3 linked regions of the Anolis sagrei genome follow. The protein of the gene in region 3 interacts with the protein of the main gene of each other region in a pairwise test. Links are inferred from orthologs where the notes say so. Each region holds a gene or a part of one and is shown on either strand. Other genes may lie near its edges.

The links.
Region 1: the proteins of OSGIN1 (region 3) and BCAR3 interact in binary tests that used the Homo sapiens proteins (3 or more experiments, as listed by UniProt). The link is inferred for Anolis sagrei from reciprocal best matches to the Homo sapiens genes OSGIN1 and BCAR3.
Region 2: the proteins of OSGIN1 (region 3) and CAPN3 interact in binary tests that used the Homo sapiens proteins (3 or more experiments, as listed by UniProt). The two-hybrid records come from large-scale screens. The link is inferred for Anolis sagrei from reciprocal best matches to the Homo sapiens genes OSGIN1 and CAPN3.

Annotation. Positions count from the first base shown.
Region 1 is NC_090024.1:146,119,995-146,127,903, reverse strand, and holds the start of BCAR3 (breast cancer anti-estrogen resistance protein 3), read left to right. Parts: upstream 1-4,625; 5' UTR 4,626-4,650; coding exon 4,651-4,740; intron 4,741-7,909. UniProt on the Homo sapiens protein: Acts as an adapter protein downstream of several growth factor receptors to promote cell proliferation, migration, and redistribution of actin fibers.
Region 2 is NC_090021.1:287,044,587-287,053,024, forward strand, and holds the start of CAPN3 (calpain-3), read right to left. Parts: upstream 3,604-8,438; 5' UTR 3,311-3,603; coding exon 3,020-3,310; intron 1,776-3,019; exon of another isoform or gene 1,403-1,775; intron 1-1,402. UniProt on the Homo sapiens protein: Calcium-regulated non-lysosomal thiol-protease. Proteolytically cleaves CTBP1 at 'His-409'. Mediates, with UTP25, the proteasome-independent degradation of p53/TP53.
Region 3 is NC_090028.1:8,518,988-8,526,556, forward strand, and holds the start of OSGIN1 (oxidative stress-induced growth inhibitor 1), read right to left. Parts: upstream 3,351-7,569; 5' UTR 3,222-3,350; intron 1-3,221. UniProt on the Homo sapiens protein: Monooxygenase catalytic activity. Involved in regulation of cytokinesis; promotes RHOA activity, probably acting locally at the midbody in late cytokinesis.

The sequences.
Region 1 (7,909 bases), on a different chromosome or scaffold from region 3:
TTTAACAAACATATTGACAAACATGTCCCATTATCCAGATGAGTAGTAGTGTACTAAGAGTTAAACATTCCACTCTGATCATGTAGGGTATTAATTTTTTCTGCTCCAACCTTAATATTAATGGGCATTGATTATTAAAATATAGGTAAATGTAAAGGCTTTCCACTGACATATAGTCTAGTCGTGTCCAACTCTGGAAGTTGGTTCTCATCTCCATTTCTAAGATGAAGAGTCGGCATTGTCCGTAGACACCTCCAAGGTCATGTGGCCAGCATGGAGTGCTGTTCCCACTGATGTCTGAAAGGAAACTTTTATAGGCTTCTCAAAGGCATACTGTGATCTAAATATGGAGACTGAGTTCTGAACATGCCCAGTTCTGATCACATGGTCTGCAGCCCCTTCAACAACAGTGAGGTTAAAGAAAACTACAAACTAATACATACAGTAAGAAATTATATAGATAACAAGTAACTAGTGGAGGCTTGAGCAGGTTGTAATTTTCAGCAAAATAGGGAGAAAAAATGCAGGGTTTTGCAGCGATTCCAAAAATATAAACATAGCCAGTTTAAACGTGCTTATTTAAACAAATTACTAATTCCCTTTTTACAGTCAACAATTATAATAACCACTAAAAAGGTAAGGTAAAGGTTTTCCCCTGACATGAAGTCCAGTCGTGTCTGACTCTGGGGGTTGGTGCTCATCTCCATTTCTAAGCCGAAGAGCCGGCGTTGTCCGTAGACACCTCCAAGATCATGTGGCCGGCATGACTGTATGGAGCGCCGTTACCTTCCCACCGGAGTGGTACCTATTGATCTACTCACTTTTGCATGTTTTCCAACTGCTAGGTTGGCAGAAGCTGGGGCTAATAGCGGGAGCTCATGCTGCTCCCCGGATTCAAAATGTGATCTTTTGATCAGCAAGTTCAGCAGCTCAGTGGTTTAAACCACTGCACCACCGGCGGCTCCTAAATATATTAAAATATATTTGTATGCAATAGATCAGATTTAAAATGTTGTTGAATAAGCATAATCACTTTGAGACAAAGGTCTTAAGTATTTCCAAAATGTTTCTAACGAGGTTTTTTTCTAGCTTGAGGGATACTTTAACTTTTCCATTAATAAAGCAAGCGTCCATACACTTGGAGTAATTTTGAGCCTGCATTATGTCATGCTTTCCTTAAGGTTCCTCCATCCTCAAAAACTGCTTAAGATGTATAACCTCAGCAGTATGGGATGTAACCATGAGCAGAAGCTCTCATTTTGACACGTTGCTGACCACATGACATCAGCCTGTGGGCAAATGTGTGTGAAAAATATTCAGCACGTAGGCAGGTTAGAACAAGCATTTTTTTGTTGCTGAGACATCAGAATGTCTTTGGCATCTATGTGCAGCAGGCAGAAATCCTCTTGTTTATGCAGTGCACAAAAGAACAACATCTTTAGACACACAGCATAGGAAAATGCAGATTCTTCACAGGAATCACATTTTGCCATGCATTATGTATGAGCAGTGAGTGTGCCAATAATTATACATCATCTGTGTGTAGACAGTGTAATGATAACTTTTAGTCACTAGATGGCACTGATTTTACTAGCTAGCAGGGGTCAAGAGTTTCCTTTGGACCTTATCATACTCAAAGTGGAAAATGCTTTTCCTGTAGGCAACCATGGCTTTTGAGGACTTGGTACATACAAGCCAGATCACACTTCCCTGTATCTATTAAAATAATGTGCTTTGTCTAATAACATGGCAGATGGATAACTCCTAGGCTTGGCTGATAAAAAAAAAATGGTTCAAAACTCGTTTTTGGATGTAGGGGGTGCTGGTGGTTCGATTCTAAAGTCAATTCCAATTTTCACAGAATTTTTTTTTCAAAACTTTTCGAAACTTCCGAGACTTCCGAATCCTTTTGTTAATAGTTTGAAAGTGTTATTTCCTGTTTCCTTGGGTGGTCTTTACTTTGAAAATAGTTGTTTTACTCCAGAAGCAGGGAAAAGCAAGTGGAGGAATTTCCACTTGAGTTGAGGCCAGGAAATGTCTTCCTTCTGTGGTTTAAAACTGGCTTCTCTGGCTTGAGCTGAGGCCAGGGACCAGAAGCGGGGAAAAGCAAGCGGAGGAAATTCTTTCCTTCTCTGGTTCAAAACTGGCTTGAGTTGAGGCCAGGAAATTCCTTCCTTCTCTGATTTAAAACTGGCTTCTCTGGCTTGAGCTGAGGCCAGGGACCAGAAGCGGGGAAAAGCAAGCGGAGGAAATTCTTTCCTTCTCTGGTTCAAAACTGGCTTGAGTTGAGGCCAGGAAATTCCTTCCTTCTCTGATTTAAAACTGGCTTCTCTGGCTTGAGCCAAGGCCAGGAAATTCCTTCCTTCTCCAGTTTAAAACTGGCTTCTCTGGCTTGATATGAGGCCAGGGACCAGAAGCGGGGAGTCATATCAAAATGATGAGAAAAGCTTTGGAAGGGCAAAGGGACTTCTGGTTTTTAAAAAAGGTAATTTTAATGAAATTATTATGAGCAATGAGTTATCCAAGCAACTCTATCCATGCTTTATAACTCCTCCTAATCTTTCCAATGTTCCCCTACATGGATCGGGACTCCCTTCTCCAAGTGGGGTAGCCATTATCTCCCTGGTTTCCCTTAAAATCTCATATGTAAAAAAGGTCATGAGTCAGGGAACCTTCAGAAGCTCTGCCCAACGTCACTGCTTTTCTTTTTTGAAAAAAAAAGTAACCTCCAACTCAACAGGGAAACAGAAAAACATCTTCTTACTAGCAGTTTGAAAGCATGCAATGCGAGTAGATCAAAAGGTACTTCTGTGGGAAGATAAAAAGGCCGCCCCATGCAGACATGCCAGCAAAAAGATCAGAGATGTCTGAGGACAACAGGCTCCTTCGGCATGGAAAATGGAAATACAGCATCTCCCCATGGCCGGAAGTTGAGCATTACCTCCAGGTGGCGGAGATAGAGAAGGGGGAAGATCTTTATCTTATCTGTGTATTATATGTTGTTGTTCATGTAAAAAGGCATTGAATGTTTGCCTAATATGTGTTCTTTAATCCGCTCAGAGTCCCTCCAGATAAAACGTAATATAAGATGTACTATTATTATTATTATTATTATTATTATCTTTTTGTTCCTATGGAGCTGCACAGTTCTGACATTTAAACAAAATAATCATAATAATAATAATAATAATGGAAAATAATAATGTGAAAGTATAAAACACAAGTGGCTTTACTCAGGTTCTTTCTCTGGCTGCAAGTGGAAGTGTACTGGTGGTCACATCAACAAAAATGGAGTGGTAGGAAAGCACGGCACCCAAACATGCTCCGATGGACACATGACATTGGCACAGCTGACAAAATGCATATGGGAGTAAGGTCACACCTAGAAAGCCATGCCTCTGATGTGCATTAAGGAAAAGCTACAGGTGAAGACTATTTGGAATGCGTATTTCATAAATTGCTGGCCACATATCCTTTGCATATTGATATGAAGTGGGTAGTCCATTGTGTGATCATTTCCATAGGGACTGGTGTGTAAAGGGTGTTATTTCCCTGTGTGATAAGGTACTTTGTTGAACAGAGACAATATACAGTTAGACCTTTCACTTTGGCAGGTGTTAGGGGCACAGGGCTCTGCAAAACTGAAAAAAAAAACATGCATTTTAATAAATCCGAGAGAACATCTCTGTAGGCATATCTAGGTCCTCCATCATGGCTCTATGGTCAACTTCTTCCAGAGGTTGACCATTGAACTGTGCTGGAGGACTTACAAATTTCCTAGAAAAATGTTGATCATAGAATTGTCCTAAAGAATTTAGAGATTCCTAGAAAGAATGTATTAATCAAATTCGCAGCTAATCAAATCTGCAAAAGCTAAGCCTGCAAATATATAGTTTTTGTCCAGCTGCTTGATGAGTGTGCTTTTCCCCCTTCCATGACAGTCCAACCAATTCTATGTGTATTAATGGATTGCTCTCTTATTCTCTCCATTTTGCACAATTGTTTTGTCAATGCTTTCTTATACATCTCTTTGTTGGCAAATGTGTAACTGGCACACTGGTTTTGGATTTCTATATTTCACATGAAATAAAGAGAGCGTTGTTACATCTGTCTGCCTGTTGCTTCTTTTCTATGAAAAGTTTCTTATGCTAAGACCCATTAAGGCAGTGGTTCTCAATCTGTGGGTCCCCAGGTGTTTTGGCCCATAACTCCCAGAAATCAGAGCCATTTTACTAGCTGTTAGGATTTCTGAGAGTTGAAGGCCAAAACATCTGGGGACCCACAGGTTGAGAACCACTGCATTAAGGCATTTTTGGGAACAACCTAGGTTTCTATCTATTCCATATCTGCAATAGGCGCAAAATGGTGTTTAAATCTACATTCATGTTGACTTTGTCATACTACAAAAATCTTTGCCATCCAAACCCTGAGCCCTTTCAACTCTAATATTTTTTCCCAGCATCACCCACTCTAATCCAGATAAAAGAACAGTCTGCAAAATACAACTTCAAGAAAATGTTCCAACTTTTGCAGTGTCATAGCTATCAACTAACTCTTAAGATTCTCATAACTTGAAATAAACATGGATTTTCTCTTTCTTTGCAGAAATAAAAGAATCTTGCCCTCTTGCAAAGACACAACTAGAGGATTATGAAGCACATCTCCATTTCTAGCTGGTTGTCTCAGCTGGGGCTCCCAGAGTATGGGGCTCTTTTTGATCAACAGTATGATGGGGTAGAGGTAAGAAATCAGATTTTGATGAGAAAATTGCTCAATTCATTTCAAGCCACAGCAGTTAAAGCATCTCTAACCACTCTTTAGGATACTAATATTCAAAATGTGTTCTAGGAAACTTTGGTGTATTAAATAACCTGCTTCAGAAAGGCCTAAAATTCACAAATAATATGTATACGAGCCCGAACAATGTTTCCCATTTTCGAAAAGCAAATCCAGGTGTATGTTTGCGAGTAAGGGAGTACTTAATCTTTCTGGTGGTGTTCAGATCTTCTCGCTTCCAGCGTAACCCAAAGAGTTTCACCCTGCATTAGATTGCAGAATTTTCACCCAATTTGAATGCTTGAGGGGAGACTTGTGTTCACTCGGACATGAGAATATGTTGTGGTTAAATATCTCTTTTCAGTAACATGAATGTCTCTGCTTGTAGCTGGATTTTGTTTTAAAATCTCTCTAATCACATTTATATAACCTCCAGTAGTTTACAGATGAAAACATGGACACGTATGACCAAACAGCATTAGAACATGTTCAAATTGGTAAAAGTAATTAACGGGAAGGAACACATCAATTCGAATATGCTGGAACTGTACAAGTTTGCCTTAGCTGAGTAGGAAGGATGAGATTCCACCCTCTCTGCCCAATTCTGAATTAATTGACTGCAATATACTTTTTTTCACTTCAAACTTGGTTTGCCACCACTAGAGCAGTGGTTCCCAACCTGTGGTCCATGGACCACCAGTGATCCGCAAGAACTAAAATATGATCCGCGCCCTCACTGTTACTACACTGTTACAACAAGAATCATAGAAGAGACCTCATGGGCTATCCAGTCCAACCCCCTGCCAAAAAGCAGGAAAATTGCAACAGGTCTCCCGAAACCCTCTTATAGTGCTGAAGCAATGGGGATGTCAGGAGGGGTGAGGCTAACTACCCATGAAAGGCACGACAACAAGCCTCTTGACTGCTGCTTCCCCTGCTTCTCCCTCCCCCTGAGCAGAGCCGTTCCATTTTGCACCTTGGTGTTCTTGTTTTTAGGCCTGTTCCTGGGGTTATTTGTTTCAGAAAATTCCATTAGATAGACCACATCAGCTCTAGATTATTATTTTATGGTTTTCTGTGGGCAAGCAGGTGGTGACTACTGGATGGTATATGTTCTGTATCAGAAACTAGAGCTGATGTGGTCTATCCAATGCAGTTTTCTGAATCAGCACCCAAAATAACCAAACTGAATCTAAAGTTGACCAAAAACTGATTCGTAATCCTTTTGGTACTAATGTTGGAGAGTGGTCCCTGTTCAAAGTGGTCCCTGTTTAAGTAGTCCCTAGTCAAGTGATCCCTGGTCAAAAAAAGGTTGAAAACGACTGCACTAGAATAAGCTAAAGAAGAAGGAGGAGAAAGAAATTGAGATGTTTTAAAATCAGCTGGGAAAGTGTGGTGACAGAGGAATAATCATGACTGTCCCCAGCATATCAGGACAGTTTAATTGTGTGTATATGCAAGAAATATGACATCCTCTCAGGTATTTATTTAGCTACTTAATTTTGCAGGTGCTGTTTATTCGTTGCTGCCCAATAAACTAGAAAAAGTAGCCAAAAACAATTGCTGGATTGTCTGATTTGTTTGATGAGAGGGGGGCAAAACAAAGTGGGGAAGGTGCCTAATGGTACGCTCTGGTTTCTTTAGCCATTATTGTTACAGTCCTCATTAGGCTGACTTTTTGGAGGAGAGGGAATTTCTACTCCATAAAGATGATTCTGTTTGCAAAATGTGGGATTCTTCCAAGCTTACTGACACTTTCTCTTTTATTTGGCAATTTTGACCATGGAGAACTAATACCTCTGAAATTTGGAAACAGAGGAAATGATGTGTGCAACTTTCAGAAACATAGACATCACATCTAATCACTTTTACTTAAAGCCATGCTCGTTGGAGACTTACAATAGTAAGGCTACATGCACAAATAGTTCGTTCTTAAATTACTTCAAGTCAACTTAAACTTACAGTAACCTCAAAAGCTGCCCTGCTCAGGTCTTGCAAGCGCAAGGCTGCGGCTTCCTGGGTTGAATCAATCTGCTTATAGGGCAGTCTCCCTCTTTTCCCACAGCTTTCCATTTTTTCAAGCATTATCGTATTCTCCAGTGAGTCATGCTGTCTCATTATCTCTATCCAAAGTACAGCAACCTCAATCTCACTATTTTATCTGAAGCAATATTTCACTTCACAGGATCAATGAGCTGGAAGAAGCCACAAGGGCCATTCGACCCAAGCCCTGGCCATGCAGGAAAACCTAATCACAGTACTCCCAAATAGGTAATCTGTTTGTAGTGATGCTTCATGTGGCATAATGTAAAGTAAACCACATGTAGTTCACGTTTGATCAGCCCACACTTCTTTGCCAGAGAAAGAAAGCATGCCATGCAGATGAACAATAAAGAACAAGTAGTTTACTTTTTGTAATTCAAAACAACATATTTACAATCATGTGATCAGTTACATCGACTTACATAATATCCCATTGACTTGGCCACAGTAGTCCATGCTCTGGTTACATCCCATATAGACTACTGTAACGTGCTCTACGTGGGGTTGCCTTCGAAGACTGTTCGGAAGCTGCAAATGGTCCAACGAGCAGCAGCCAGGTTGCTAACAGGAGTGGTGCTCAGGGAGCACACAACTCCTCTGTTGCGCCAGCTCCACTGGCTGCCAGTTTACTTCCAGGCACAATTCAAAGTGCTGGCCTATAAAGCCCTACACGGTTTCAGTCCGACTTACCTATCCAAACATATCTCTCCTTATGAAACATCTAGGACATTAAAATCTTCTGGGGAGGCCCTGCTCCCGCTCCTGCCTTCTTCGCAAATGTGTCTGGCGGGGACGAGAGACAGAGCCTTCTCAGTGGTGGCCCCTCAACTGTGGAACGCCCTGCCCAGAAATATAAGAGCAAGCCTTCCCAAATACAGCATAGCTAAACGGAATTATGGTACTACTTGATAACGCAATGGAATAACGATTTGACATGGAGACGCTCATGATAATGTTTTAAGGCTTTGTACGTTTTTTATATTTTTATATTATATACTATTGTTTTTAACAGAATTTCTTGATTGTTTTTACTTGTTGTAATTGTTGAGGCATCAAATTGTTGCCAATTTGTGAACTGCTCTGAGTCACC
Region 2 (8,438 bases), on a different chromosome or scaffold from region 3:
TTATTTTAAAGAGTTCACAGGTCCTCAGTTTGGGGGTCCTCTTGAATTCAGTGCTGACTCTGGAAGTCCAGGTGTCGGTGGTTTCCAGGAGGGCCTTCGCATGATTAAAGCTTGTGTACCAACTGTACCTGTACCTCAAAAAGCCAGATCTGGCCACAGTGGTTACATCTCAAATTGATTACTGCAGTGCACTCTACATGGGGCTGCCTTTAAAGATGGCTCGGAAACAGCAACTAATACAAAGAGCCAGGTTGTTGACTGGACCTAATTATAGGGAACATACCACTGCCTACTAAAGCAGCTCCACTGGCTGCCTATATGTTTCCAGCCCCAATACAAAGCCCTACACGGTTCAGGTCCAGCCTATTTACATGACCACATCTCTCCCTATGAACCTGTTTAAGTATAAATATCTGTCTGGGAGGCCCTTCTCACGGTCCCACCGCCATCACAAGCACGGTTGGTGGGGACAAGGAAGAGGGCCTTCGCAATTGTGCCCCTAACTCTGGAACACCCTCCCCAGGGAGATTAGGTAAGGTTCCGCACTTTCAACTTTTCAGAATGAGTTGAAAACCTGGCTTTTAAAACAGGCCTTTGACACAACATCCAGTGGTTGAAGAATTTAAATGGAACTAAGTTTTAATTGGATTTTTGTTCTTTTGACCAGACCAGTGACTGGAATGTTTTGAGTTATATGAAATAACCACTGATTACTTTTAGTTATGAATTATGGTTATCTAAGTCAATTTAACATGTTGCTTATTTCATATTATTTTGTGTCACTATTTTTGTTGATTTCAGTTAATTTTGTTGTATTTCTTAATAATGCTTGTTTATAGTTTGCATTGTTATTTTGTTGTAAGCTGCTCCGAATCCCCAGAGATGGGGCTGGATACAAATAAAGTATTATTATTATTATTATTATTATTCTATCTAATGTTTAGGTAGACTTTATTTTCTTCTGATTTGAATCAATTGGCCTCTGGAGTAACAGAAAATAAGCTTTCTCTATTTTTACATGATACTACTTCAGACATTTAAATATGTATATCCTATCATCCCTCAGTCTTCTCCACACTTAACAGACTCAACTGCCTAAGTCCATTATATAACTTGGTTTACTTATTTTTTTATCATCTGAGTTGTCCTTCTCTGGAGATGTTTAATCCGTATCCCTCTTGAAGTGGACACAGTAGTACAGGTGAAATTTGATGAAAACAGAATAAACTAGTACTACCAATTATATTTTTGATCTGACACGATACTCTTGTTGAATCTATCTAGAATTGTTGGCTTGAGTTTTGCTTATGGTCTGCTAAAACTCCTATATCTGTTTCACTTGTACTCCTTTCAAGCCAAGTGTCACCCATCCTATATTTGTCATTTCCTTTTTCTTTCCTAGATGTAGAACCTGATATTTATCCCTCTTGCAATACATTTTATGAAAGTCATTGATGCCGAACAACACTGGAACCAGGATACAACTCTGGGTTATGACACTAAGCACTTCTCTTCGAGATGAAGAGCAACCATTGATGTGGACATTTTGTTTGGTCTATCAACAAATTACAAATCCACCTCACAGCCATACTGTACAGTCCACAGTTCACAAACCTGTTTGTGAAAATAGCATGGGAGGACATTAACAAAAGACCTACTGAAATGAAGTGGTTGCACTGCCCTGGTCTATCAAAAGAGTAAACAAACTGATGCAGCCTCTCTTATCTTGTTTAATGCTCTTCTAAAATGGAAACACAGATCAACAAAACATTTTATTCATTGTTGTCTTGGTCTTTATGCCTGTCTATGGGGTTATTCAGAAAATTCAGAAAAATGCATTGAATAGACTGTATCAGCTCTTAGATATGGTTATAATGCTTCTATAAGCAAGCAAGTGAAGATTGGTATATGACATATGTTCTGTATCTCAAAACCTAGAGTTGATAGGAGAAAACTGGCTAGTGAAGGCTTTACTGTGTCAATTACAACCTGGTCCAAGTTTTAATCTAACCAACCTCTCTCTGTCATTTGCTTGCCCCTCTACTGTTGCCCCTGATGAAACAGCCAGAGAGGAGGGGATAAACCAATCAAACATTAGGAATAGTAGTTGCCAGTAGAAGGGAAAGTTGCAATCAATTCCTTTCCTTACAGAGGAGTATCTTAGGGCCCTTCCGGACAGGCCCTATATCCCAGAATGATCCCAGCTTTTCTGCGTTAAACTGGATTATATGAGTCCACACTGCCAGATAATCTGGGATAAACAGAAAACCTGGAACCAGATCCTGGGATATAGGGCCTGCCTGGAAGGGCCCTTAGAGAACAACTTTTTTGGAGTAAAGGGTACCTAGATGAGGAGGGAAAGACAATGTTGCTAGGTTAAGACAAGTGATGTTATAGAAAATTGTATATTTTACAAGAAGGCAAGTTTCCTATCTTTGTTTATACATTTTTGGGGCCACGGAATTCGAAAACCTTGGTGCAGCAACGCCATGCTAATATTGCATTACTGGCTTTTTGCAAAGGTGAATGGTTTTAACAACATCATCAACAACTGCATGATTAATTAATTCACACCTCATAATTGATTACAATTACCAGCAAGAAAAAAAACAAAAAGAGGAAGCAATTTACTAAGGTGCAGCTTATGGTGAAACAGAAGCATCACATATATGTATGCATGCATATATGAATGAATATGCATGTAAAAGTAAAATGCTGATTTTAAAGTAAGTGTTAAAAATTAGAGAAAATAGTTAACCTCCTATTGGGGAATAGGACTGTTCTGGCTGTCACTCAAAACAGGTTTTAAATTTGGGATTGAAATGAGATAAAACCACTGTCAGCTAAAATACACCAGCCAAATCTTGGGAGATAAAGCAAACCTTATTCCTTAAAACCTTGCTGCTTTCAAGACATTGTTTTTTTCATATCTATACTTTTGTATTTAGAATGGAATCTTGCTGGTATAAGCAGACATTCAACAAGTTCAGTCTTTACATCAGACAAAGGGTCTACTCACTGGTGGCCTCTTCCACTCAAATTTGACAGGGAGCTTCTGGCTATAGAAAAGGGAGGAGTCATTTGCTGGAAAATCTGGATCTTCATAAAGAATTTTCTTTTCGAGACATTTCTTATGGAGCTCGTGAAAAGTCTTCTCCTTGGCACCGATGATGGGTTGGTTGCGGCTGAGGATGGCAGAGTAGATCCCTCCTGCGCCTCCACCTGTTTCTGCTGTTGTGCTAGCATTCTGGCAGGCAATGGGTCCAGCCCCAGACCCTTTTACCATCTTGGTACTGACAGCCGACGGCATGGAGATTGGTTGTGAATAAATTTATAAATTAAAGAATGATAACAAAAATAAGGAAGATCTTGCAATCCGGAAAAGGACAGGAAAGAGGAAGTTGCTCTGTCAACGAGTTCACAGTTCTCTTTCACTCCTTGTTTGTCTGCGAATATTTAGACAGCAATGTGAAGAACCATCCCGTAGGTTGGTCTACATGTCATCTTGAGGTTCTCCCTTGGTATCAATACCAGCATCTTAGCAGGAAGCAAGAGAAATTGTTGAGTAACGTTCCCCTCCAGATTTGTGTGTGCGAACGTGCCTATGGCATGCTTTGGAAAGGTTGCAGATCAGGAAACTAAAAATAAACTCTTAGGGAGAGTGTTCATGTGGAGGAGGGGAGGAAGAAACAGAGCTCATCCTTTCAGAATGTCTGAAAGGGCTAGGCAGGCTAAAATCACTTTTTCATTTTTTTAAAAAAAATCTACCTTCTCATGCAGTTCTTCAATGGTTAAGAACTTGGCGCACATACTGTAGAAAACTTATTTTTTTCATAAACAAATCCACAAGATTCAAATTTTAAAAGTCTGTAATAAAGAAGTAGGAGTCATTGTAAAGTGACCCAAAATATGTAGTAATTTCAAAGGATTCAATTTTTCTAGGGCCATTTTAGACTCATATCAAACAGCATTTCCAGGATTGTTGCAGTACTTTAAACATTTTTGGAAACAGTTCGTCTGGTTGTAGAGCATTGGTTCTCAACCTGTGGGTCCCCAGGTGTTTTGGCCTACAACTCCCAGAAATCCCAGTGTTTGCCAGCTGTTAGGATTTCTGGGAGTTGAAGGCCAAAACATCTGGGGACCCACAGGTTGAGAACCACTGTCTTAGAGATTTTGATCATTTAGAGTAGCCAGGTAGTCCTATAATGCACATTTACCTATTCAATGTTGCATTCCCCCTACCACATCATCTGACCCACTTTCCCAGGTTGAGCACCATTTTCTTTGTGAGAAAATACTGAGGGAAAGAAGACATTGCGTAGTTCTACACTTTTCTGTCTCCTGTAAACATTTCACCATTATCTCCATGCAGTGGGCCCTACCATTTCCTTGTTCTTCCTTTCACTAAGGGCATAATAACAGTAACAAAATCTAACCCTTTTTATTAGTTTTAGTCTTTCTAGCAAATCTGAGTTCATTGTGCACTATAGCTTTTTTATTTTATCCCTTCACATGTTGACTATTTGTTGGAATTCCTCTTTAGTGTTTCTTTCCTTTTCTATGTCTTGTACACATCCCTTAAATCTTATCTCACTTGAAAAATCTTTAATGACAGCCATTCTGAATTCTTTAGACGTCTCCAGTTTTTCCTCGTGATTCAAAAGGATTCAATCTGTGCCTCCAATACCTCACTTTTAAGAAACTCCCATCCATCATGAACACCCTTCTCTTTTAGTGTTCTTGACCATAATAACTTTATTCTTATATCCCGCCATCATCTCCCCAAAGAGACTCGGGCCATCTTACATGGGGACCAGTCACAGTAAAATACATTGCATTACAATAAATTAAAACAAAAACCGTACAAAACATCGTAAAAACATAAACCATCAACAACCAAAAACCAGTAGCCGAGCACAATGGATGTGTTCAGAGCTGACCATGCGATCACACTATTTCCCTGTATTTACTGAAATCAGCTTTCTTGAAATCTAGAAACTGACTACACTTCACTTCTCCTTTCCACTATGCAACAAACTCCAGGAGAACATGATCACTCCCACATAAGGAACTTCCCACATAAGGAACCAATTTATCAGGTTATCACTGTTGGTTAGGATCAGATCTAAAATAACGGATCCCCTTCTGGACAATGTCATTGCCTACAAGACAAGTGATGTCCCACAGAGTATTCAAAAGAGCCCATTTACTATAGATGGATACCAACGTACCCCCATCATGTTTTTCTGGAGGTCTCTTTTTCTTCAGGAAAGCAGCAAAATATGTCAGTCTTAATGCAGTTGTGCAGTTACAAGCTCTTTAGATTGTAATGAATAACATAACATGATTAGAATGCTTGAGAATGGGAGAACCAAGATTGCATATTCCTGTCCTCTCATACAAATTTAGGACCATGGTTAACACAAAAGGTGTAAAATATTGTCTTTCTTTATATTCAAGCCGTTGCTTTCATCAGATTTTTGTGAGAACTAAAATGAACAGTAGTAGTCAGCCCTCCACATCTGTGGGCTTGACTTTTGTGGATTTGATTAAAATATTCTCTCTAGGATCTCTAAGTCTTCCAGTGTGACTTTATGGTCAAATCTGCTGGAAATTGAGCACAGAATCATATTTGAGAACTTACGAGATTCCTAGAGAGAATACTTCTCTAGAATCTTAAGATTCTCTGGGGTGATTCTATGGTTTAACTTGACCATAGGGTTGTGCTGAAGAATGTAGAAATTTCCAGAAAGGTTTTTTCTCACATAATGCACAGTAGTGGTTTTTTATTCATGGTTTTTCCAATGTTGTGGGGGTCCTGTTTCCCTAATCCCAGTGACTGTGGAGAGCTGGCTGTATTTTTATTATTTTGAGGAGATATTTCACAGAAATATTGGGGTCATAATCTGTTGCAGTATCAGTACATTTTAAGGACCAATTAAATAATAAATGGAGATGATAAACACAGGGAGAAAACTACTTTTTTTTATTTGTGACATAAAATCATTAATATGTATAGCATTAATTCGTAGTTAACCCTATACATGTTGTTGCAGAACTTAGCTGCACAGAATTCAATAGGACATACTCTGAGAGAGAGAGATTGATTGAGAGAGGGTCCATCTTCCAGAGGGAGGGCGGGCGGGCAGGGGACATACTGTACATGTATGTACATATACTGTACATACTGTAAGCGTCCCTACTTTGTGGATTTTCACTTATCGCGGGTGGTCCTGGAACATAACCCCCGTGATAAGTGAGGGAACACTGTATTAATTTTGGTATCTATGAGTTAATTTGCAATAAACCAACTGCAAAATGTTTTGAGGTCTCCTGGCTTTGCCATAACATGTGTGCTAACTCATTGATCTCATTGTTTTCTTAGGCCGTTGTTAAAACAACTGACATGCCTTTCCCCCATTACTTAAGATTCTTTGACATGTATAACCATCTGTTCTCCAAAATCTCCTGAAAGCAGCTGTCTAAAGTCAGGCTGACATGCTGTTTACATTTCTCTTCCAGAGTTCACTAGTCTTGTCAAAAGGTACGCCTCTTCTCTCAAACATACACATCCTTGAATTTATAAGGAAAGAAAAATTAGATAATATTGTAAATGCTTTATTTTCTAATTTTTTTCATCCGCATTTGTTTTTTTACATCCACTTTGCCTATATATTGATGGAGTAATTACTGTAATTGAATTATTTGGAGAGACTCATGAGCTATGTTCTGGCAACTATGTAAGAGGAAATCTAAGAAGCCACTCAATGGTGGTTCGCTCATAACTATGTGACTGCTCTAGGGATTCGGGTTACTGCAGTATGAAAACACCAGCAATGATAGAATTCTGCAATCTTCTGAAGCCACCCCCCCCCCCGCCCCAATTCATTGCTCTACTGAAACAATATGCAGTTCTAAGCAAGGACCATGTTACTAGCCATTATGCACATTCAAACATTGGTCGCCTATAGAGAGCTTTTTCCATGACAAGTCAGTTGTAAAAACTATTTTAAACCAATACAGATGGAGCTCTGTTATGACATCCTTGTCCACATTATTCTATGAAATATTGTGGCATTGCTCACTGTGGCCTTATGACCTTGCCCTTGTGTGATCATGGCAGCCCGATACAAACAGATTTTGTACCAGAAGATTCAGGACACATCTACACAAATTCTTTATCCTATGGCCGATCTGGAGTGTAAAATTCCAGATCGGGCCAGGGATGTTTTTGGCTGTTGGTCCTCTGTGAAGTCTTGGCTCTGTCTTTTCCTCTCCTCTGCTTTAGTTCCTCCTGTTTAGGTTTTCCCAATAGTGTAGATACCTTTCTTTGTATTCGTTTTTTGGATGGAGCATAAAAAACCTCCTAAAGGCCAGCACTAGTTGGTCTATTCCATTTGCCTGCATAGAGCTCTTTTGTTGGACTCCTTTTTTTTTGGCAACAGAGCTACAGAGAATAGAGGCTTAGGAATTATCTGGTAATCCTAGGCCTAAGCAATCCAAAAAACAGACATCCTTAGCACCTGCATTCAACAGTATCCATATACCACCAGTCCAAGAGACAACAGAAGCTTTTGACCAGCTTAAGCTTCAGAAGGAAGAAGATTGAGACAGTTTATAACCATCGCTTTGCACCAGAGGCAAGAAACCTTCAAAATTCCAGAGAGATGACTGCAACCAGCAAAATCTCCTTTTGTAATGTATTGTTTCAAGTTATTCTATATCCCGGATATAGGATAACTATCCTGGGTGGAGTTAACCCTTTATTCATCTTGTTTTCAGTAAACTCATTTTGGTTATCTTTTTACCTTACCTAAAGTGCCTCTGTCTGCTAAGGGTCTTAATCTTAACAGAAGGTATCAGATACCCCCCGAATAAAGCCAGACATTGTAGTTTTTCCCAAAGGCTTGGGTGTGCCATCACAACCCCTTTGGTTGTGATCACTGATTTAAACAGCTAGCATCTACTCTAATTCTATATAAATACTTGTAAATTAAGATGGAAAGATTGGATCTATTCCCATTACTCCCCACTAGGCTGCAATCGTATACTCTGGGATGAAGGTCTGTGCAGCCCTCCAGAGGTTGTTGAATGGCATCATCCAGCAATTTTGACCATTGGATATGTTGGCTAAGGCTGTTTGGAGATGTTTGGCAAGACCTGGTCTGACACATGATTCCATCTCCTTTTATACTCTCACACCTGGGAATAAAATCTGATATGTTCAGACATACAGAAGATTGCATTTCAGAGTTTGCATCTTCAGCCATCAAAATCACCTCTTGTTCCCATGCACAAGAGCTAAACCCTTTATTTTTTAAAAATCAGACTTACCAATAAGTAAGATCCTACATATGTACACAATAATGCAGAATACATATTTGTGAATGAGTTATTTGGTACATTTCTATCCTGCCTGTGTACACGGGGTCCTTGGC
Region 3 (7,569 bases):
AGAGAGTCCCCATATTGACAATCCACCAGAAAAGTTTAGGGAAAGTAGAGGGAGTTGTAGTTCACCTACATCCAGAGAGCACTGTGATCCCAAATGCTGATAGATCTGGACCTAGCTTGGCACACACACCAATATTTGATTACTGGAGGGGTTTGGGGGGAACTGACCTTCCTTTCTGGGAGTTGTAGTTCACCCACAAACAGAGAAATGGTGATCTCCACAGATGATGGATCTGGACCAAACTTGGCACACATACCTGACATGCTGAAATTTGATTATTGGAGGGGTTTGGGGGGAACTGACCTTCCTTTCTGGGAGTTGTAGTTCACCCACAAGCAGAGAAATGCTGATCTCCACTGATGATGGAAGTGGACCAAACTTGGCACATAGAATCCCCACGACCAACTGAACCTACTGGAGGGGTTTGAGGGGACTGACTCAATATAGTGGGAGTTGTAGTTTACCCTACAGCCAGAGAGCATGACTAACTCCCATGACTAACTTAGCCTACTGGAGGGGTTTGAGGAGACTGACTCAACATAGTGGGAGTTGTAGTTCACCTACATCCAGAGAGCACTGTGAACCCAAACACCGATGGAACCAGACCAAACTTGGCACACATACCTGACATGCCAAAATTTGATTATTGGAGGGGTTGGGGGGGGGGGGGGACGACTGACCATTCTTTCTGGGAGTTGTAGTTCACCCACAACAAGAGAAATTATGATCTCCACAGATGGTAGATCTGGACCAAACTTGGCACACATACCTGACATGCCAAAATTTGATTACTGGAGAGGTTTGGGGGGAACTGACCTTCCTTTCTGGGAGTTGTAGTTCACCCACAACCAGAGAAATGGTGATCTCCACAGATGATGGACCTGGACCAAACTTGGCACATAGAATTCCCATAACTAACTCAACCTACTGGAGGGCTTTGAGGGGACTGACTCACCATAGTGGGAGTTGTAGTTCACCTACATCCAGAGAGCACTGTGAACCCAAACACTGATGGATCTGGACCTAACTTGGCCTACATACCTGACATGCCAAAATTTGATTATTGGAGGGGTTTGGGGGGAACTGACCTTCCTTTCTGGGAGTTGTAGTTCACCCACAACCAGAGAAATGGTGATCTCCACAGATGATGGACCTGGACCAAACTTGGCCCATAGAATTCCCATGACTAACTCAACCTACTGGAGGGGTTTGAGGGGACTTACTCAACATAGTGGGAGTTGTAGTTCACCCACATCCAGAGAGCACTGTGAACCCAAACACTGATGGATCTGGACCAAACTTGGCACACTTACCTGACATGCCGAAATTTGATTATTGGAGGGGTTTGGGGGGAACTGACCTTCCTTTCTGGGAGTTGTAGTTCACCCACAACCAGAGAAATGGTGATCTCCTAGATGATGGACCTGGACCAAACTTGGCACACAGAATTCCCATGACTAACTCAACCTACTGGAGGGGTTTGAGGGGGCAGACTCACCACAGTGGGAGTTGTAGTTCACCTACATCCAGAGAGCACTGTGAACGCAAACACCGATGGATCCAGACCAAACTTGGCACACATACCTGACATACCAAAATCCGATTACTGGAGGGGTTTGGGGGGAACTGACCTTCCTTTCTGAGAGTTGTAGTTCACCACAACCAGAGAAGTGGTGATCTCCTAGATGATGGACCTGGACCAAACTTGGCACACAGAACCCCCGCCCCCCGTGACTAACTCAACGTACTAGAGGGATTTGAGGGGATTGACTCAACATAGTGGGAGTTGTAGTTTACCCTACAGCCAGAGATCACTGTAAACCCAAACACCGATGGATCCAGACCAAACTTGGCACACATACCATGTCAAAATGTGATTATTGGAGAGGTTTGGGGGGAACTGACCTTCCTTTCTGGGAGTTGTAGTTCACCCACAACCAGAGAAATGGTGATCTCCACAGATGATGGACCTGGACCAAACTTGGCACATAGAATTCCCATGACTAACTCAACCTACTGGAGGGGTTTGAGGAGACTGGCTCAACATAGTGGGAGTTGTAGTTCACCTACATCCAGAGAGCACTGTGAACCCAAACACCGATGGATCTGGACCAAACTTGGCAGACATACCTGACATGCTGAAATGTGATTATTGGAGGGGCTTGGGGGGAACTGACCTTCCTTTCTGGGAGTTGTAGTTCACCCACAACCAGAGAAATAGTGATCTCTTAGATGATAAGACCTAGACCAAACTTGGCACACAGAATTCCCATGACTAACTCAACCTACTGGAGGGATTTGAGGGGACTGACTCAACATAGTGGGAGTTGTAGTTTGCCTACATCCAGAGAGCACTGTGAACCCAAACACTGATGGATCTGGACCAAACTTGGCACACATACCTGACATGCCAAGTGGGAGTTGTAGTTTACCCTACAGACAGAGAGCACGGAACCCCACTGATGATGCATATAATAATAATAATTATTATTATTATATTATTATTATTATTATTTATTATATGCATCATCAGTGGGGTTCCATTATTATTATTATTATTATTATTATTATTATTATATTATATAATAATAATAATAATAATGTAATAATAATAATTAATGCATATAATAATAATAATAATAATAATAATGTAATAATAATAAGTACTACTGTTACCAAAAAGGACTGGTACCTCACCAAATTACAACTCCCAGGATTCCATAGCATGGAGTTAAAGTGCTGTCAAACTGCATTAATTGTGAAGTGTAGACACACCTGTAACTGCCAAGCAATCCAGTAACCAAACTGGGCAATTCCAGAGACTATAATTCACCCAAAAAGGAACTTTTCGAAACTTTCATTCAACAGGTGCATCCTAAGAAATGTAAGCAGCATAGGAACACCTTTTAATGGTATGGTTGCTCTCTGGGGTTGGACTAGATATCCTCTTGGGGTCCCTTCCAACCTTATGTTTCTATGATTCTTTGCTAATCGTGCCGGCTTTTTAAAACACAGCGGCTTTCAACGCGCACAGATTTTCCATTTATGTAACAAGAGCCTTCTCCTGATCCCTTGCCAAGGAAAAGGACTTCCCTGGCACCGGTTACAGAAAGTCCTTGGGATCTGATGACACTAAATATATATATATGAAAAGTATTTTTAAAAGCAGCAAAAAAGTGCATCTGAGCAATAAGAGCTTTGCAGCATCAATGCAGCCTTACCTTTGAGGTCAGGAAAGTAGATTTCCAGCAGATATTTCCTGGGATTGCAAGTGCCTTTTGCCTGGAAGAGATCAAGAGAAGTTTCTGCTTCCCTGAAAGGCAGGCTCTGAAATATATGACAGTGGCAGAGCAGAGGGGGCGTGGCTTAAAGGGGGCGTGGCTTGGGGGTGGAGGGGCGGGGCTGGGCTGGGGAAAGCTCTCATCAGCATGAATCAGCAGCAGCAACATTTTTGTGAATGGAGCCTCAGAGGGAGTGAATTTTTTTTTTATCTCTCTTTTTGGCAAGGTTTGGTATAGAGGAGGAGGAGGCAAACAAGGCAGCCTTTCAATGCATCCCACACACAAGGGACATCAGGTGCCTTATGGGTCCTAAGATAATAATAATAATAATAATAATAATAATAATAATAATTAATAGAGTTCAAGTTAATCCAGAGGAAAAAAGGCATAATAATAATAATAATAGAAATAAATGTAAGGAAATAATTAAATGCAATGCAAGCAAGGAATACAGGAAATCTAACAATAAATATAATAAATGCAAGCAAAGAATGCAGGAAAATTAATAATAATAATAATAATAGAAATAAATGTAAGGAAATAATTAAATGCAATGCAAGCAAAGAATACGGGAAAGCGAATAATACATATAATAAATGCAAGCAAAGAATGCAGGAAAATTCATAATAATAATAATAATAATAATAATAATAGAAATAAATGTAAGGAAATAATTATATGCAATGCAAGCAAAGAATGCAGGAAAATTATTATTAATAATAACAAAATAATAATATAAACTTGTATGCAGAACACATCATGCGAGGATGTGCGGGGCTTGAGGAATGCAAAGCTGGGGTGAAAATGGCTGGAAGAAACATCAACAACCTCAGATATGCAGATGACACCACTCTGATGGCCGAAAGCGAGGAGGAGCTGAGGAGCCTTCTAATCAAGGTGAAAGAAGAAAGCGCAAAAGCCGGGTTGCAGCTAAACGTCAAAAAAACCAAGATTATGGCAACAAGAATGATTGACAACTGGGAAATAGAGGGAGAAAACGTGGAGGCCGTGACAGACTTTGTATTTCTAGGCGCAAAGATGACTGCAGATGCAGACTGTGGCCAGGAAATCAGAATACGCTTCCTTCTTGGGAGGAGAGCCATGTCCAAATAGTAAAGAGCAGAGACATCACACTGGCAACAAAGATCCATTGCCTAGTCAAAGCCATGGTATTCCCTGTAGTCACCTACGGATGTGAGAGCTGGACCTTAGGGAAGGCTGAGCGAAGGAAGAGAGATGCTTTCGAGCTGTGGTGTTGGAGGAAAGTGCTGAGAGTGCCTTGGACTGCGAGAAGATCCAACCAGTCCATCCTCCAGGAAAGAAAGCCCGACTGCTCACTGGAGGGAAGGAGACGAGAGACAAAGTTGAAGTCCTTTGGCCACATCATGAGGAGACAGGAAAGCCTAGAGAAGACAATTATGCTGGGGAAAGTGGAAGGCAAAAGGAAGAGGGGCTGACCAAGGGCAAGATGGATGGATGGCATCCTTGAATCGACTGGACTGACCTTGAAGGAGCTGGGGGTGGTGATGGCCGACAGGGAGCTCTGGCGTGGACTGGTCCATGAGGTCACGAAGAGTCGGAGACGACTGAACGAATGAACAATAATATAAATGTAAGGAAATAATTACCGTAAATGCAATGCAAGCAAAGAATAAAGGAAAGCTAATAATAATAATAATAATAATAATAATAATAATAATTGCAAGCAAAGAATACAGGAATAATAATACTACTAATAATAATAATAATAACAGAAATAAATGCAAGTAAAATAATGCAGAAAATTAAATATAATGCAAACAAAGCAAATAATAATAAGAAGAAGAAATAAATGCAAGCAAAGAATGCAGGAAAGTAAATAATGATGACGATGATATAGATAAATGCAAGAAAAGAATGCAAAAAATTAAATACAATGCAAGCAAAGAATGCAGGAAATTAAATAATAATAATGATGATAATAATGATAATAGAAATAAATGTAAGGAAAGAATGCAGGAAATTAAATATAATGCAAGCGAAAAATACAGGAAAGCAAATAATAGTAGTAGTAGTAGTAATAATAATAGAAATAAATGCAAGCAAAGAATGCAGGAAATTAAATACAATGCAAGTAAAGATTGCAGGAAAGCAAATAATAAATAAATACATAAAGTGGTGCAGCAAACAACAAATCCTAGGAATCCATAGAATAGAGTAATCACGGTTAAAGGGGTTAACTGCTATGAATTCCCATTATTATTATTAATATTGTTATATTATAAACAAATAAATACTTAATATATTTATGGGTGCATCTACACTGTAGAATTAATGCAGTTTGACACCACTTTGACTGCCATGGCTGAATGTTATGGGATCCTATGAATTTTAGTTTCGTGAAGCACCGGCACTCTTTGGCAGAATGTTAAAGACCTTGGGAAACTTCAACTCCCAGGACCCCATAGCATTGAACCCTGGCAATGAAGCTGTCACTCAAACGGCATTGCTTTCAAGTTCGATTGGGCCAGGGTTCAAGAAAAACAAAAGCCACAAAAGCAGTACAAACACAAATGAACACAAAAGAAGTTCGAAGAATTCAAAGAGCATTTCGTTGCACCTTCCTGATGAACTGTCACCCATTTAATCCAATGTGAGGGACCTGGAGTTCACAAAAGGGGGTGCCAAAGAAAACTTGCTAATCTGAAAGGCACCACTAAATACTTTGTGATTTCTGCTCCAATATGGTTACACCTCTTGGAGATATTAAGAGTTGAGCCCTTAAACCTCAAGAGAGACTAATCTGACAGTTCGGTTCTCACATTTCAGCTTTTACAGTATTATTTCAGTGGTGACAGTATTATTTCCCACTTATATACAAAGACTAAGGATGGGTTTCCTTAAGCCCTTAGTAATAACAACCACACCTCAGTGAACTTTGTGGTTGTGTGTCTTTAAAGGGGCGACTTGCCCAAGGTCACCCAAAGGGCATCTACACTGTGGAATTAATACGGTTTGACGCCACTTTAAGTGCAATGGTTCAATGCTATGGAATCCTGGGAATTTTTATTTTATTTATTTATCGTGTCAGGGGCAACCAGACCATTGTATTACATTTCTAACAGAACAAAACAAACAAACAGATAAAAAAAACCACAAAGTTTGCAAACTTGGTAGTTGATTAAATGTCCGTTGACCAGTAACTGGCCACTTGGAGTGCCTCTGGTGTTGCCACAAGAATGTCCTCCATAGTGCATGTGGCAGGGCTCAGGTTGCATTGCAGCAGGCGGTCAGTGGTTTGCTCTTCTCTACACTCGCATGCCGTGGATTCCACTTTGTGGCCCCATTTCTTAAGGTTGGCTCTGCATCTCGTGATGCCAGAGTGCAGTCTGTTCGGCGCCTTCCAAGTCACCCAGTTTCCTGTGTGCCCAGAAGGGAGTCTCTCATTTGGTATCAGCCATTGATTGAGGCTCTGGGTTTGAGCCTGCCACTTTTGGACTCTCGCTTGCTGGGGTGTTCCAGCGAGTGTCTCTGTAGATCTTAGAAAACTATTGCTAGATTTAAGTCGTTGACGTGCTGGCTGATACCCAAACAAGGGATGAGCTGGAGATGTCCTCTGCCTTGGTCCTTTCACTATTGGATGCTACTTCCCGGCGGATGTCAGGTGATGCAATACCAGCTAAACAGTGTAATTTCTCCAGTGGTGTAGGGCACAGACACCCCGTGATAATGCAGCATGTCTCATTAAGAGCCACATCCACTGTTTTAGCGTGGTGAGATGTGTTCCACACTGGGCATGCATAGCAGCAGAGTAGCATAGCGCAAGGGCAGATGTCTTCACTGTGTCTGGTTGTGATCCCCAGGTTGTGCCAGTCAGCTTTCGTATGATATTGTTTCTAGCACCCACTTTTTGCTTGATATTCAGGCAGTGCTTCATGTAGGTCAGAGTGTAGTCCAGAGTGACTCCCAGGTATTTGGGTGCACTGCAATGCTCCAGTGGGATTCCTTCCCAGGTAATCCTCAGAGCTTGGGATGCTTGTCTGTTCTTAAGGTGAAAGGCACATGTCTGTGTTTTAGATGGGTTGGGGATCATCTGGTTTTCCCTGTAATAGGCAGTAAGAGCACCTAGAGCTTCGGAGAGCTCCTATTCAACTATCTCAAGGCTCCCTGCTTGAGTGATAATGGCACGATCATCAGCATAGATGAAACTCTCTGTCCCGTCTGGCAGTGGCTGGTCATTTGTGTAGATGTTGAACATGGATGGAGCAAGCACGCTCCCCTGGGGCAGGCCGTTCTTCTGTTTCCGCCA